Linked DNA regions of Arabidopsis thaliana. The protein of the gene in region 2 interacts with the protein of the main gene of each other region in a pairwise test. Each region holds a gene or a part of one and is shown on either strand. Other genes may lie near its edges.

Evidence for each region.
Region 1: the proteins of HAT2 (region 2) and TCP4 interact in binary tests that used the Arabidopsis thaliana proteins (3 or more experiments, as listed by UniProt).
Region 3: the proteins of HAT2 (region 2) and PTF1 interact in binary tests that used the Arabidopsis thaliana proteins (3 or more experiments, as listed by UniProt).

Annotation. Positions count from the first base shown.
Region 1 is NC_003074.8:5,059,944-5,064,669, reverse strand, and holds TCP4 (TCP family transcription factor 4), read right to left. Parts: upstream 2,990-4,726; 5' UTR 2,363-2,989; coding exon 1,100-2,362; 3' UTR 1,072-1,099; intron 990-1,071; 3' UTR 518-989; downstream 1-517. UniProt on the Arabidopsis thaliana protein: Transcription factor playing a pivotal role in the control of morphogenesis of shoot organs by negatively regulating the expression of boundary-specific genes such as CUC genes, probably through the induction of miRNA (e.g. miR164).
Region 2 is NC_003076.8:19,215,754-19,219,779, forward strand, and holds HAT2 (Homeobox-leucine zipper protein 4 (HB-4) / HD-ZIP protein), read right to left. Parts: upstream 2,255-4,026; 5' UTR 1,895-2,254; coding exon 1,744-1,894; intron 1,609-1,743; coding exon 1,298-1,608; intron 1,215-1,297; coding exon 1,135-1,214; intron 1,039-1,134; coding exon 729-1,038; 3' UTR 518-728; downstream 1-517. Other genes in the region: AT5G47360 (Tetratricopeptide repeat (TPR)-like superfamily protein), read right to left, coding at 1-125. UniProt on the Arabidopsis thaliana protein: Probable transcription factor that plays a role in auxin-mediated morphogenesis. Negatively regulates lateral root elongation.
Region 3 is NC_003074.8:389,192-393,273, reverse strand, and holds PTF1 (plastid transcription factor 1), read right to left. Parts: upstream 2,555-4,082; 5' UTR 2,031-2,554; intron 1,778-2,030; 5' UTR 1,753-1,777; coding exon 685-1,752; 3' UTR 507-684; downstream 1-506. UniProt on the Arabidopsis thaliana protein: Plays a pivotal role in the control of morphogenesis of shoot organs by negatively regulating the expression of boundary-specific genes such as CUC genes, probably through the induction of miRNA (e.g. miR164).

The DNA.
Region 1 (4,726 bases), on a different chromosome or scaffold from region 2:
AAATTGAAGATTCTTCTTTTCTATCTTTTGATGTAAACGTACTTTATGATATCTCAACTCATCCATCTGGTGTGTTTTGATTACATCACATGAAAAGGTGTTGCTGCTTTTCTATTAAAAGGTAAAGTTAAATATTCTTATAATACACATGCATTTAGACCCCAAGTGTTTTTGACTAAACTTTGCAAAAATCCAATATTATTATCAAAAGATGATGATGATAGAGAAGATAGACTAGTTTTGATCAACTTCCTTCATTTAGACCAACATGGGTGGCTCTCTTTACCTATCTCATGTCCCCATTCTTTTACTCATCAAAGACAACATCACATTCAAGTTTGGTGGATCTCCTCCTACCACTAAAGTAGGTGAGAGAGAACAATTATTGACATCAGACATAGAAAACAATAATCATATTTTTACTCTTAGTGAGCTAAGTTTCACTTGTAATTTAAGGGAACTGGCTAAATCCCCCTGATGTTCCAGAAGAAGAAACAATTCAAAACTTACTGTTCATGGAAAATGACCAACTTATATCTCTTGGGACCAAAAGATTACGTGAGAAATAGGAATCTCATGTTGTTTAAATAACAAGGATCTAGCCTGAACAGAGCAGTAAAAGTAAAACCCAAAGAGAAAGTTTCAGACTTTATTAGAACATCCACGGAGTTACACAATAAGAACAGGGAGCAGTAACAATAGGATGATGATGATACAAAGTTACAAACATAACACAACAAGACGAAACCTTGGAATCTAACCATAATTGAGCTACAGAAGAACGTTGGTCTAACTGGTGAAAATATGAAAAATTACAATCGGCAAGGTTAAGATATTGGAAGAAGAAGAAGAAGAACCTGAAACTGTTGTTCTTTCTTCATTTCCTTGCGTTTTCTAGATTCAGGCCATTGACTACACAAACCGAGAACACCTTCCCTGTTCCGGACAATCTAAGTCAAGCTTCAATGTGCATGGAAGCTAGACAAGCCCTGCAAAATGGTTTAAAGTTCAATGACCAAAGAAGTACAAAAGTAGTGAATTTGATGTAAAAGGACAGAACTTGAGATAAACCTGAAACTTAGAGGATTAGTTTCGATTGTCAATGGCGAGAAATAGAGGAAGCAGAGGACGGCTTGTGAGTGAGACCGTCGTGCTGCTCCTCTTCTTGGCCCTGAAACCGTGCTGGTATGCGAAAACCCGAAGAGAATTCACCTGAGGCGAATCCGATTCCGGGGATTGCTGATTGGTGAACCGGTGGAGGAAGGTGATGGTGGTGGTTGAGATCGTCGGTGGAGATGGATTGGTGATGATGGTGAGGATCAAACCAAGCACGGATCATGGGACTGTAACTGGACTGAAGGGGACCCCTCTGAGAATAAAGCTGTTGGCTTTGGCCAAGAACTGGCTGAAACGACGTCGTTGAAGGAGTAGGAGGAGCGAACAGAAACCCTCCTCCGTTTCCTGTATCGGTTGCTCCGCCGCCACCGCCGCTGTTCCAAGCCACTAGTCTCTGAATCCTTCCGAATTCCGACGACTGCTGCTCCCAACTCGATGTGTCAAACCCTAACGGATTGCTCTGTCCGTAGAACAGAGTAGGCTCGGAGGCGGAAGCAGAGGTGTGGTGGTGATGTTGGTGGTGCAGAAGCGACGGTGGACCATCCGGGAACGATTGCAGCGAGAGACGGAGATCTTGGTTTTGGCTATTAGTTCGAGAAAGCAAATCCGGCGGATGCTGATGATGATAGTTGTGCATAAGGTTATGATTCGAAGGAGCCTCCGTTGAAGAGCCAATCACCGGAAAAAACGACTTTATAGTGTCAGCTATCGAATCTGAATCCATTGACGGCGGGAGAAAACTCGACTCGTTGTTACTCGGATGCTCTGCTCCTCCTCCGTTGAAGCCAACACCGAACTGAAGCTGTTGTTGTTGTTGTTGCTGTTGCGGCGGTGGCGGAGACGGAGAGATTTGGGTTTTGGCGGTGGTTCTTCTGGGTTTAGCGTTAGCAGCGGCTAGGCGAATTGCATCGGCGGGATTCCAGGGAGGAAGCTCAGCGAGCTCGTCAATGGAAGTCTTAGCCTTTTTGATAAGCCAATCAACGGCTTTGCTAGGTCGGTCGAAACCAAGCCTGTCTTGAACATCGTAAAACTGAATCGCCGTGTGAGCAGAGAGTCTCACGCGCCGGTCACGTGGCCCTTTAGCCGTGCAGACTTTGCTGTGGCGGTCTTTTCTTCCGGTAGACCGAACAATGTGACCACCTTGCACCTCAACAATCTCGCCGCAGCCGCCGTCCGCCGCATCCGACGTAGAACGGTGCCTCATTGAAGAAGGAGGCGGCGGGTGATGGAATTGGTCGTCAGACATTGGTAGAGCATATTCGTCGAGACGGCGGCGGCGGCGGCGACGGTGGTCGTCGTTAGAGGGTGAGGAATCCAGAGTAACTCAAAAAGGATGAAACTCCCGCATACTTGCTCTCCTCACCTCAAAACCCTAACCCTAAAAACAATCCTAAGAAGAAGAGGTTTAGTGAAAATTGTGGACTAACCCATATTTGAGAGAATCTCTCTCTTTTTTTCTATAGCTTAAAGTCTCTCTCTATTGTTTGGTCTGTGTAGTAAATAGAAAACGCAAGAAGGAGACCAAAGAGATGAAGCAAGCAAAGCAAGCGAAGGTGAGAGAGAGAAGAGAGAAAGGGAGATGTGTAATTGACCAATCAAGAAAAACCCAGAGAAAGCTTTTCTTTTTATTTTTCTCTCTCGGGAAAATGGTTAAAGAGAAAAAGTAAAATAAGCAGAAGGAAGAGGGAAGAGGAAGAGAGTGTTGTGGGTTTGATGATGACGCAACTGGGTAAGATGACAGTAAGTGTTTTTTTCCTCTCATCTCCACATTCAATACTTTTATTTTTTCTTTCTTTCTTTTTTGGGTAACCAAAGCTTCCTCGTTTCCCAAATTTATTCATTTTTTTCCATTCTTTGTTTAAAAAAAAAATCTGATTGTTATAAGGTTTTAACAGTAAGTATTCATTTTGTTCATGTTAATTTTTAAAATCAATGTTTAACTTAATGTGTAGATGCAAATACAACCAAATAATAATCAACACAATCATAAACTAAATTGTAGGATGCCAAAATATTAGAAAAAAAATAATAATAATAATAATGATGGTTTTTAGAGTTAGATGTTTCCAAAACCAAATTTGTTTACCAAAATAATAGTATAGGATTTGTTATGTGCATGCAAATCATTATGTTATTTTCTAAGAGAATACATTAAACAGACTACTTTAATTTAGTGTGATATAAAAATACTAAGATGTGTTAAAACATCTACTTTTGGTCAGAGTTACTAACTTCCTTGATATGAAAATGGGCACTCTTTTCGTGGACATGTCCACATACATACATAATCATGGGGATTATATACTTAAAAAGTTGAAATCACTGGAATGAACTAGCTACTTTATTTTTCGAGTTTCCGAATTCAATAAATGAATAAATACCCTAAAAACCTATGGTGTTAGATGGGTCAAGGTTCAATTCAACCTTTTGTGCTTCTCGGTTTCTTTTAAGGGTTGACCCATGCTAGTTCAATGCAAATACATAAAGCTTGTTGATGCTCCACTTCTTTTTACCTTTTTGTTGTAAGAATCTCAATAGTTAACTAAAGTAGATTTTATTCGAAAAATCGAACTCGTTAAAAGAAGAATATAATATTAGTTAGCAATACAATTAGGGCTCTTTATAATCTAAGATTTTCTTTTTTCATCTCTCATCTTCGTTTTTGATGTTTTTGTTTTTTGCAATCCTGTTTTAGATTCTATAAACTAGTAACAAACACAATAAGACTCTCGTTATTCTTTGTTCTAAAATCCAATACTTCTTTTCTAGCTATTTTGACTTGTGGAACTAATTGATTTCACCGTATCGTGTTCGTGTGCATATCACCCAAATTCATATATGAAAGGTATTTTGAAATTGAAGAATACGACGTATAAATAAACTAATAAAGGTGAGTAAAAGACAATCTAAGCTTCAACGGAGACATTTCTAAGATCTTGAGAATTTTACGAGTTCAAAAATAATTGGTGGGACTCTATAATAATAGTATAATGCTTCTTGAATCCCAACCAATTTGACTATAACTCTCACAACTAATTCATGTATGGAATATATTGTGGTTATAATACTTGTACCACAAAATATCTCCAGATTGGTGAAAAACGAATAAATACAACAAACCTATTATATTGTTCACACAATTTTGTAGCATATTAAATTTGAACACACGTACGGTAAGCTAACGTAATTTTCAAGTAGTTGAATATGTTTTTTCTTCAAAGCAATAATAAAAACTTGACGCAAAGGATCATAACTATATAATTTTTTAGTTGGAAAAATATATATAGTATACAGCATTATTTGATAGTTTAAAACTATTCATATAAATAATTACTATTAGACCACCTACTTTAATGTAATAATAAATCAGAAAGTGACATATTAGCATGATAGAAAAGGGTCAATTAACAAACCTAATACGAACACAATAAAATAATTAATCAAACAAAACAAAATATAATATTTAAACATGAAATAGGTTGTTTAGTAGAGAAAAGGAGAATATATGTCATCCCACGGTTGCATATTAATTAAATGTAAATCAAAAGTAGCTTCCACTTGGAATTACGGTCACGATTTGCAACACAACAAAATAGAATGATTACGAGAG
Region 2 (4,026 bases):
CCTTGAAGCTGGCCGTATAATCTCTCGGCGGCTGAGACAGTTGTTAAAAAACGTAAAGCTGAGATTTTTGAGGGCTGAGATCGTAATGAAGGAGATACCAGACGAGAAATCAATGAATTTGGCATCTGGGTCGCTATAAGTGTAGCGATTGATGAAAGATTTCGTTAAGAAAATCGTAAGAATGAGACTTGAGTGAGAGAAATAGGAGAGTTTCGCTTTCGCAGATGGAAACGACGACGAAAGACTAAACGTATGGGCCGACATAATAATGTAGCCCATTAAGACCCAATAAGAATTGCTCATACATCTTTGTCAGATCTGAATCGGAAAAGCAATTGAAGTCAGATTAGGTCACAAGATTTCATGATTTCGTTAAGAACTTCAAATAAGCTACACTTCTTTTTCTTTTCTTTTTTGAGCAACTGCATATAAGCTACACTTATACCATGCTCAGAAACTGTGTATTTATCTAGAAGACGTTTGTGAATTTTTGGTTTAATTTAGAACTCTTGTAAGATATCAAAAAAAGATAGTTTCATAATTTTTGGTTAATATAGCAAGTTTGTAACTAATTTTTGCTAATTTAAATCTTTTTAAGGTTGCATCATACATAGGACTAGTTCATGAGAAGGCCAATCATCCAAAATTACAATGACCCCACACAGATAGACTATATAACGATAACGAAAAATACCAAAACACCCTTTTCCCACCACTAAAATAAAAAATCACGATCGTGGACGCAAGGCTTCAAAATTCAGCCCATGAGCCACCTGACCAGCACAAGCAACCCACGGATTGATAGAAACGGGCCTGTGATTGTGGTGATGGTTCGATGATGATGGGCCACCCACACGCTCGCACGAAGGACACATGATGAGTGTAGTTGGTGGAGTCATCTGACCGTAGAATTGTGGAGACAGCTTGAGAGTTCGAAGCTCCATAGCCTCTTTCTGAAGTCTCCGGTTCTCTTCCGTTAGCTTCTCTACGCACCGTTTCAAGTATTCGCAATCTACCTCCGTTTGCTTTAACTTGGTTCTGTAAAACCAAATCGGACCTTGTAAGTAAAAACTTCTACACAAGGGGGTATAAATGTAATTTTACAATTTTGGTGTTAAGACAAGAAAATCTCACCTAGCTCTTCTGTTTTGGAACCACACTTCCACTTGTCTTGCCGTCAAGTTCAGCTTCTTAGCCAAAGCTAGCTTCTGTTTCTGTAAATTATGATAATAACCTTGGTTATTTCAAAGTAATTACGATAATTATCATTTGATTCCTCTGACTTTTTTACACTTACGGGATTGAGAGTGTTGTGTTCTTTGAAAGTCTCTTCGAGAAAAGCAGACTGATCTTTTGATAACCTGAGCTTCTTCCTCGACGTTTCGCCCCCGTCTTCTTCTTCATCTGAGGTTCCACGTGAGTACCCTCGATCCGGAGTGATCTCGTCGTGATCGTCGCCGGAGCCAACGCCGGTTCCGGAGATTCCTTCTCTCTCACTTCTCTTCCCGCTAATGGTGCTTGAGATCGTACTGTTTGGTGACGAAACTCCTGTGTCTTCCTCGCAGTTAACCGTTGATGGAAAACTGTTCACGTCTATCTTGCGAAGATCTGCAAAGAGCAATCAAATTTTAAGTTTGAGATCTGTTTTTATTTTACTTGGAAACGAAGAAAAGTCTCATACTTCAATTCTGAAATCTGTTCTGTTTCTTTAAAAAAAAAAACAGAGAAGATTTAAGTATATACCTGATGTAGGATCGAATGTTTGGTTCCATGGGAGTCTCTGGAGATTGTTTGATAATGAAGAGTTAGGATTCAGATTCATCTGAAGAGGATTGTGATTTTGTGAAAACCCTAAGCTTAGGCTCAAACCTAGATCTTCTTTGCCCATCATCATGTTTTTTATTTCCTTTCACAAGAACTCAACAGTTTCAGGAATTATATTTCCTTATGAGAATAGAGAAAGAAAGAACACGAAATGGTTTGTTCTTTCTGAGATAGAGATGAGAAATGGTGTTTGTTTCAACTCGAAGTTAGGACTCTTTGTGGAAGAGAAATAGAGAGAGATGTGAGATGGTAATGAAGAAGAGAGGGGATTAATATAGTACTTTGAATGATGAGAGATTTTGTCAGGTGGCTAATTACAATCCATCATTATTGTTTCTTTGTTTTTGGACTTGTATTACTTTATCTCCAACTTGTGTCCCCCCTTTGGCCTTTGCCATGTCTTTCTTTTTGTACTTTCTCAATATTTGTGTTTTTCTTTTTCTTTCACAAACATTTTTAGTTTATTCCTTACAAGAACCCATGCATAATAAGATGGCAGTTTGTCCAAAACAAATAAGATGGCCAATATGTTTTCAAGTGTACACATGTATATGTGTTTTGTGTCTGAAGATTTAAAGCCAATGTCTTTAAAACCAATAGAAATGTCCGGACCACTCTGAGAAAGTAATCTACAATTAAGTGAATCATCAAGGTGCGATGTTTTTTGTATATGGATAACGCAATTTGCACTACTTGTGTTAATTTTCATGATCCATATCATGTAGTATGTCTCAAAGTTGATAAATACAATAATTCTCGTACTTCGTTTTGTCTTAATCAAGTACACGTCATTATACTCAAAGTACATGTATTATGTGGATATCAATAAAAGAAAGTATAGAAAATAGTATCTTGATTAGTTACGGCATACCGAGCTGAGTCAAATCTCCAATAGTGTAGCCAATTATTTGTCCAAATATTTTTTAAAGAGAAAAGGGAAAATAGTATTTGAGGTTGGATATAATGGAATATTGACTAATTGGAGTGGTTGGTACAAAACACAATCAAAAAGAATCTGAACTTGTTCAAAGTTGTGGACCAACCAACGGTTATGAACCAATGATATACGTGTGAGATGAATATTTGCACATAAATATCATCATCATGGTTTCTACTTTCATCAACAATGACATTTTAAAGCTACTACTTTTTTTCGTTTCTTCCGTCAGTAAAACCTTTAAATGTTTGTGCTTTTTCCTTTAGAAATAAAAATTTAAATGTGAGCAATATTGGTCAAGTGTGTGTAAATGTATAACCACTTTGCGTACAGTAACATGGAGATAGGAGCATGTGGGTCATAACAGCGTGATCGTGCGTGTTGTGTTGTTTCCTCACTCGCCTGCTCCTTATCATGTGTAACCATCCGCCTCAATCAATGCTAACTTGTTAATTATTTGATTCCTTTAACTGCTGCCTACTTTTTTATCGTCTAATATTCCTTTCTTTTCACAAAAACTAGTTGTAGACTAACTTCAGTTTTTGTAAATAGTTGTTTTACAATGCCTGAAGCATGTAAACTTAATTGTTCTAGTAAACTACTAGTGATCGTTGCATAATCATAATTCACAATCCAAATAAAAGTGTCATTAGTGTATATGTAAACAATAAAAAAATGATGGTTTGGATATACTTTTGTAAATATATTTCATGTTTATTTAGAAAAAAATAACATGTAAACTAAAATTCCAAAAACAATTTAATAATTTCCGCCTAACGTAGACATGTATATAGTGAAATTATGAAGAGATACGGCAATGAGCGACAATAATTGAGAGCAAAAAGATGGGTTTCGTGGTGAGAGATATTATGAAAAGTGGGACCCAACGCTTTACATAAGATCCGACAAGATGTCGGAGTTGTGTTTCAGTGTGATCTGGCTGTCCCACGTGTTCACTCTGACTTGTGCCACACGCACTGACCAAGTGCGTTATATCCACGCGCGCATGTTTATTTGTAATCATTTACCCCTCAACGAAAAAGAGAGTCCGCAAAGCATGATGATTGATGATCAATCATTTATTAGTGATCCTCCAATAGCTTTTATGTAAGTATTGGCAAAAACATCGAGTGTTCTTGGTGTTGAGGTTCGAGCATGTCTAAGTTTGAGTTCGGCACCAAGGTAATATATATATCGGATTCAAATTTGGTCTACTAGTCTAACTTTTAGCACTTAATTGAGCATGACCGCGGATCTTGCACTAG
Region 3 (4,082 bases), on a different chromosome or scaffold from region 2:
ACATCTTAATTTTTATATGGGAATGGCTTCTTTGCATCTTGATAGTTTACTTACTATGCTAATAAGATTTTAAAATGGGCACTTGTATGTATAATAACCATTCATGATGAATTTCTATTTGATAATGGGTTCAATATATATCTGCTTCACATGACATAGTAATGTTAGGTTTGTTTGGGTTTTGTGGAATCTCCACTTATATCATCATCTAATAATCTATCTAGCTACGGTCACATTGAGTTCTATAGTTGCATTGTACCGTGCATCCAATAGAAACATAATACCTCGATAACAGATCAGTATAAATTATTAGATTCAATTTCATATTATTACGTTACCTATTGATGAATCTGATTTTTTTTTTTGCTAAATATTTGATGAATCTGAATGTAATTTAGCTTCTCATCTCAAAGTGCATACATTACTATCAGATACTTATAATACATTTCATGTATGTTTGTGTGTATTCAGATCCTATGAGGAAGCTATATATATATATATACATGAGAAAGTTTCAAAACACATGCTAATAGTAAATTAATAAATCAATTTATAACATTAATTTGTCTATTAAAAAATATATCAGCAAAACATAGTACAATAGTAATTACCTTATATTTTGTTTTGTGTCCCCTTATTTCTGAACACATCAAACAACAATTATATCGTTTCAATAATCTAACTTCACATATGGTGATCACTTCCTCTACTTGTACAACGCTCCGAGCCTAGATGCCTCGACATGTTAGCCGTTGTAGTGCTATTAGTTCGGTTGAATTGGACCGACGACATCCGATTATCAATGTCTCTACCACCATTGTTGCTACTACTACCATGTAACAACGAATATAATGTCGAAATGTTTTGGGAAGACGAAGATGAAGAATTACCCATTAATGGCATTTGAAAATGGCTTACCATTTGCCTCGGATCTAATGTCTCCATAGTCCCTGAACCAGCTGACGATGATGATGGAAACAAAGATTGTATAGTTGTAGTTGTTGGTGATGTCGTCATTGGACATACCAAAATTTGTGATGGAAATGGGACAAGACTATGTAGTTGATGACTATGATAATCTGCCTGTAAACTCAAATGTTGGTGATGATGATGATGATGTTCCAGGTTGTGATAAGTTCCATAAGACCCAACATGATGATTGTTTGTGTAAACGACATCGTTTTCTCCTTTCTCTCTATCGTTTTCTTCGCGGCTAGTAGTAGTAGACTTTTGTACACATCCATTGATTTTAAACCCGAGTTGGGTCGGATCTTGACCGGGCCGTTGACCAAGATTCAAGAAGGACTGATGATGGTTGAAGATGCTGAAATTTTCCGGCGAGATAGGTAACGGAGGTAGCTCGTCGATCTCCTCTTTAGCTGCATCAAGCAACCAGTCAACGGCTTTGCTAGGCTGGTCAACACCGAGCCGTTCTTGAAGATCGTAGAGCTGAATAGCCGTTGGGACTGATAATCTCACGCGTCTGTCACGTAGTCCACGTAACGTACACACTTTGCTGTGACGGTCTTTGCCTCCAAAGGCGCGTGAAACCCTAACAATCCTCGGATCCTTGGATTTCATCCACGAAGAAGAAGAAGAAGAGATCGATGTAGGCTGCTTTTTAATTACGGTTTTGCCACTGGTGGCTCTGACTTCGGTTTCTTCTTGATCCTCTTTTACTTCTCTTTCACGTCTTGTCGTAGCGCCGCCTGCAACTTCGTCGTTTGCATCTTTCCAAGAGACGATATTCATAATGCTATTCTCGAGATCTTTATATCTAATACAGAAAGAAGACCAAATGTATATCCATTAGCAGAAAACATAAGGGAATTATGGCAAAAGAATTCAAATAATATAGTTAATTTCTGAATCCTTTTAAAACGAGAGCGAATCCAGAAAAATGGAGAGAAAGTAGGAATTGTCTAAGAGAGAAAATTAGGGTTTAATTTAGCCTGTTTTCTTCAATCGACAAAATTCTTATAATCCGGACTGAAGAAGAAACAAAAAAAAAAACGTGTACTGTTTCTTACATGAGTTCCAAAGTTTTGTACGGTCTTGAGCTTGAACAGGAAATCTAGGGTTTTGCTGTTCTATAAAATGAGTAATATGATGAAGAAGAGAGAATGAGAAATAGAGAGAAGAAAGTATGTGATTCGACTTTTCTTTTCAAAAAGTATATGAATAAAATGAAAATAAGATAAAAAGAAAAAGAAAATTAGAAAGAAGAAGATGCTTTTGGAAGTGAATATGAGAACCCTACCAATATCATAAGCCTCCAAAATTTAGAAGAATTGCGACTTAAGTATTTATGTTAAAAAAAGCAATGGATGTAGTAATGCCACGTGGCGGATTTCGCTATCCTCGAAGGGAAAATAAAATGAATGCGCTGAATAATCAGTCAAGTTCATTTTCATCTTTAATATTATGGATCATATCAAATCTACATACGGAGGAGATATTAAACTCGAATATTTTATCATCCACGTATGTGATATGAGTTGCAGTTATAATACGGCTAAGAAGAAAATCCCAAAAAAAGTATACGCGAATATCTAAATTTTACAGAAATTTTAGATGCCAAAATCAAACATACATTGACGTGAAGTTATATATAATAGTAGCTTATTAGAACATCTAACCAATGTTATGAAAATAACGACATTTTAGGAATAATTATTGTTGTGAAATGGATGATGTACGATTATTGATGGAAAACGTATGAATTTTATCTCAATTAGCCAAACCATGATAATTTCGTGATTTTTTTTCTTTAATTGTCCACTGTAAATCTATTGGTAGAATTAAAAAGCCAAGACCTATATTATTTATGATCCTTGATTTTTTTTTTTGCTCTTTTCAAAAATATGTTTTGCAGCCGCCAATGCACTCGTGATATATTGAAATGAAGTTGGATCTATAATATTATGACTAGTTAAACACTTCATCACTTTCTTTTCTTAAAAAAAAAAATGAAACTACATCAATTATTAACCAGGTATTGATTTGTTTCATAACACTTCTATAAATGATAAAGATTAGACTTTAGAGTTCAGCGTAGCGTTTTCTTGATCATTTTAACTCATCTTTTAAATTGGATATCTTATGAATAATCTAATTAAAAGAATATGGTACATTATGTTTAAATTTAGTCCTTGGTTCTACAATATGAAATGTAACTCACATATATGGTAATATATAATATACACACAGTATATGGTCCATGTGAATATTGGCATGCTGTTATATCGACAATTACAAAAGGTTGTGGTTTACCCGATGCACGCCTTGTGTACCTTGTTGAGTCATGACTCATTACCTTTTCAAAACACAAGTACTTTAACTAGACATCACTAAGCCCTAATTTACTTTTGCTTCATATATAAAAATCAGTTTTAACATCTTTATTTATCGATAAGGTTGTGTTAACCTTGTGATTTTTCTTTATATAAGGATTTTTTTTTAATAAGATTTTCTATATTAGATCTAATGATGTATATATTATATTTAAATGTGTAATCTAATATAATTAATATGGACGGTAGGATATAAGAAGTAATATGATTTTGTTATTCGGATGCATCATCTGTGAAAAGGGGCACCTATATAATTCCCATATTACTAGTCAAACCATTCTTTTAGGTCAAACTTAATGTTCTAAGAATAATTGAGACGAGTATTTTTCAGAATTTCAAATCCATAAAACTAATAATAAAAAAGTATCCACATGATTGTCTTTTGAAGTATGCAACTTAATTAATTATCCATTCACAATAAGATTTGTACCCCTTTTTCAAATACATTTTAAATATCTATATGAATCAATAACATTCATCAAATTATTAATTTTATTAAATTGTACATTGTCTTTTAAATAAAGTGATATAAGAATATTAGAAGTGGACGAAAGCAATATATCCTTATGAATCGAAACAAAGGAGTAAGAGAAAAAGAAAGTGTGATGATGATCATTTTATCTTAAGACATCACATGGGAACAAAGGAGAAATCGGACAAACTTAGAATCCATTAAGTCATGTCTACTTCACCGACTCCAGAATTTTGTTGTCTCATGAACAAAGATTG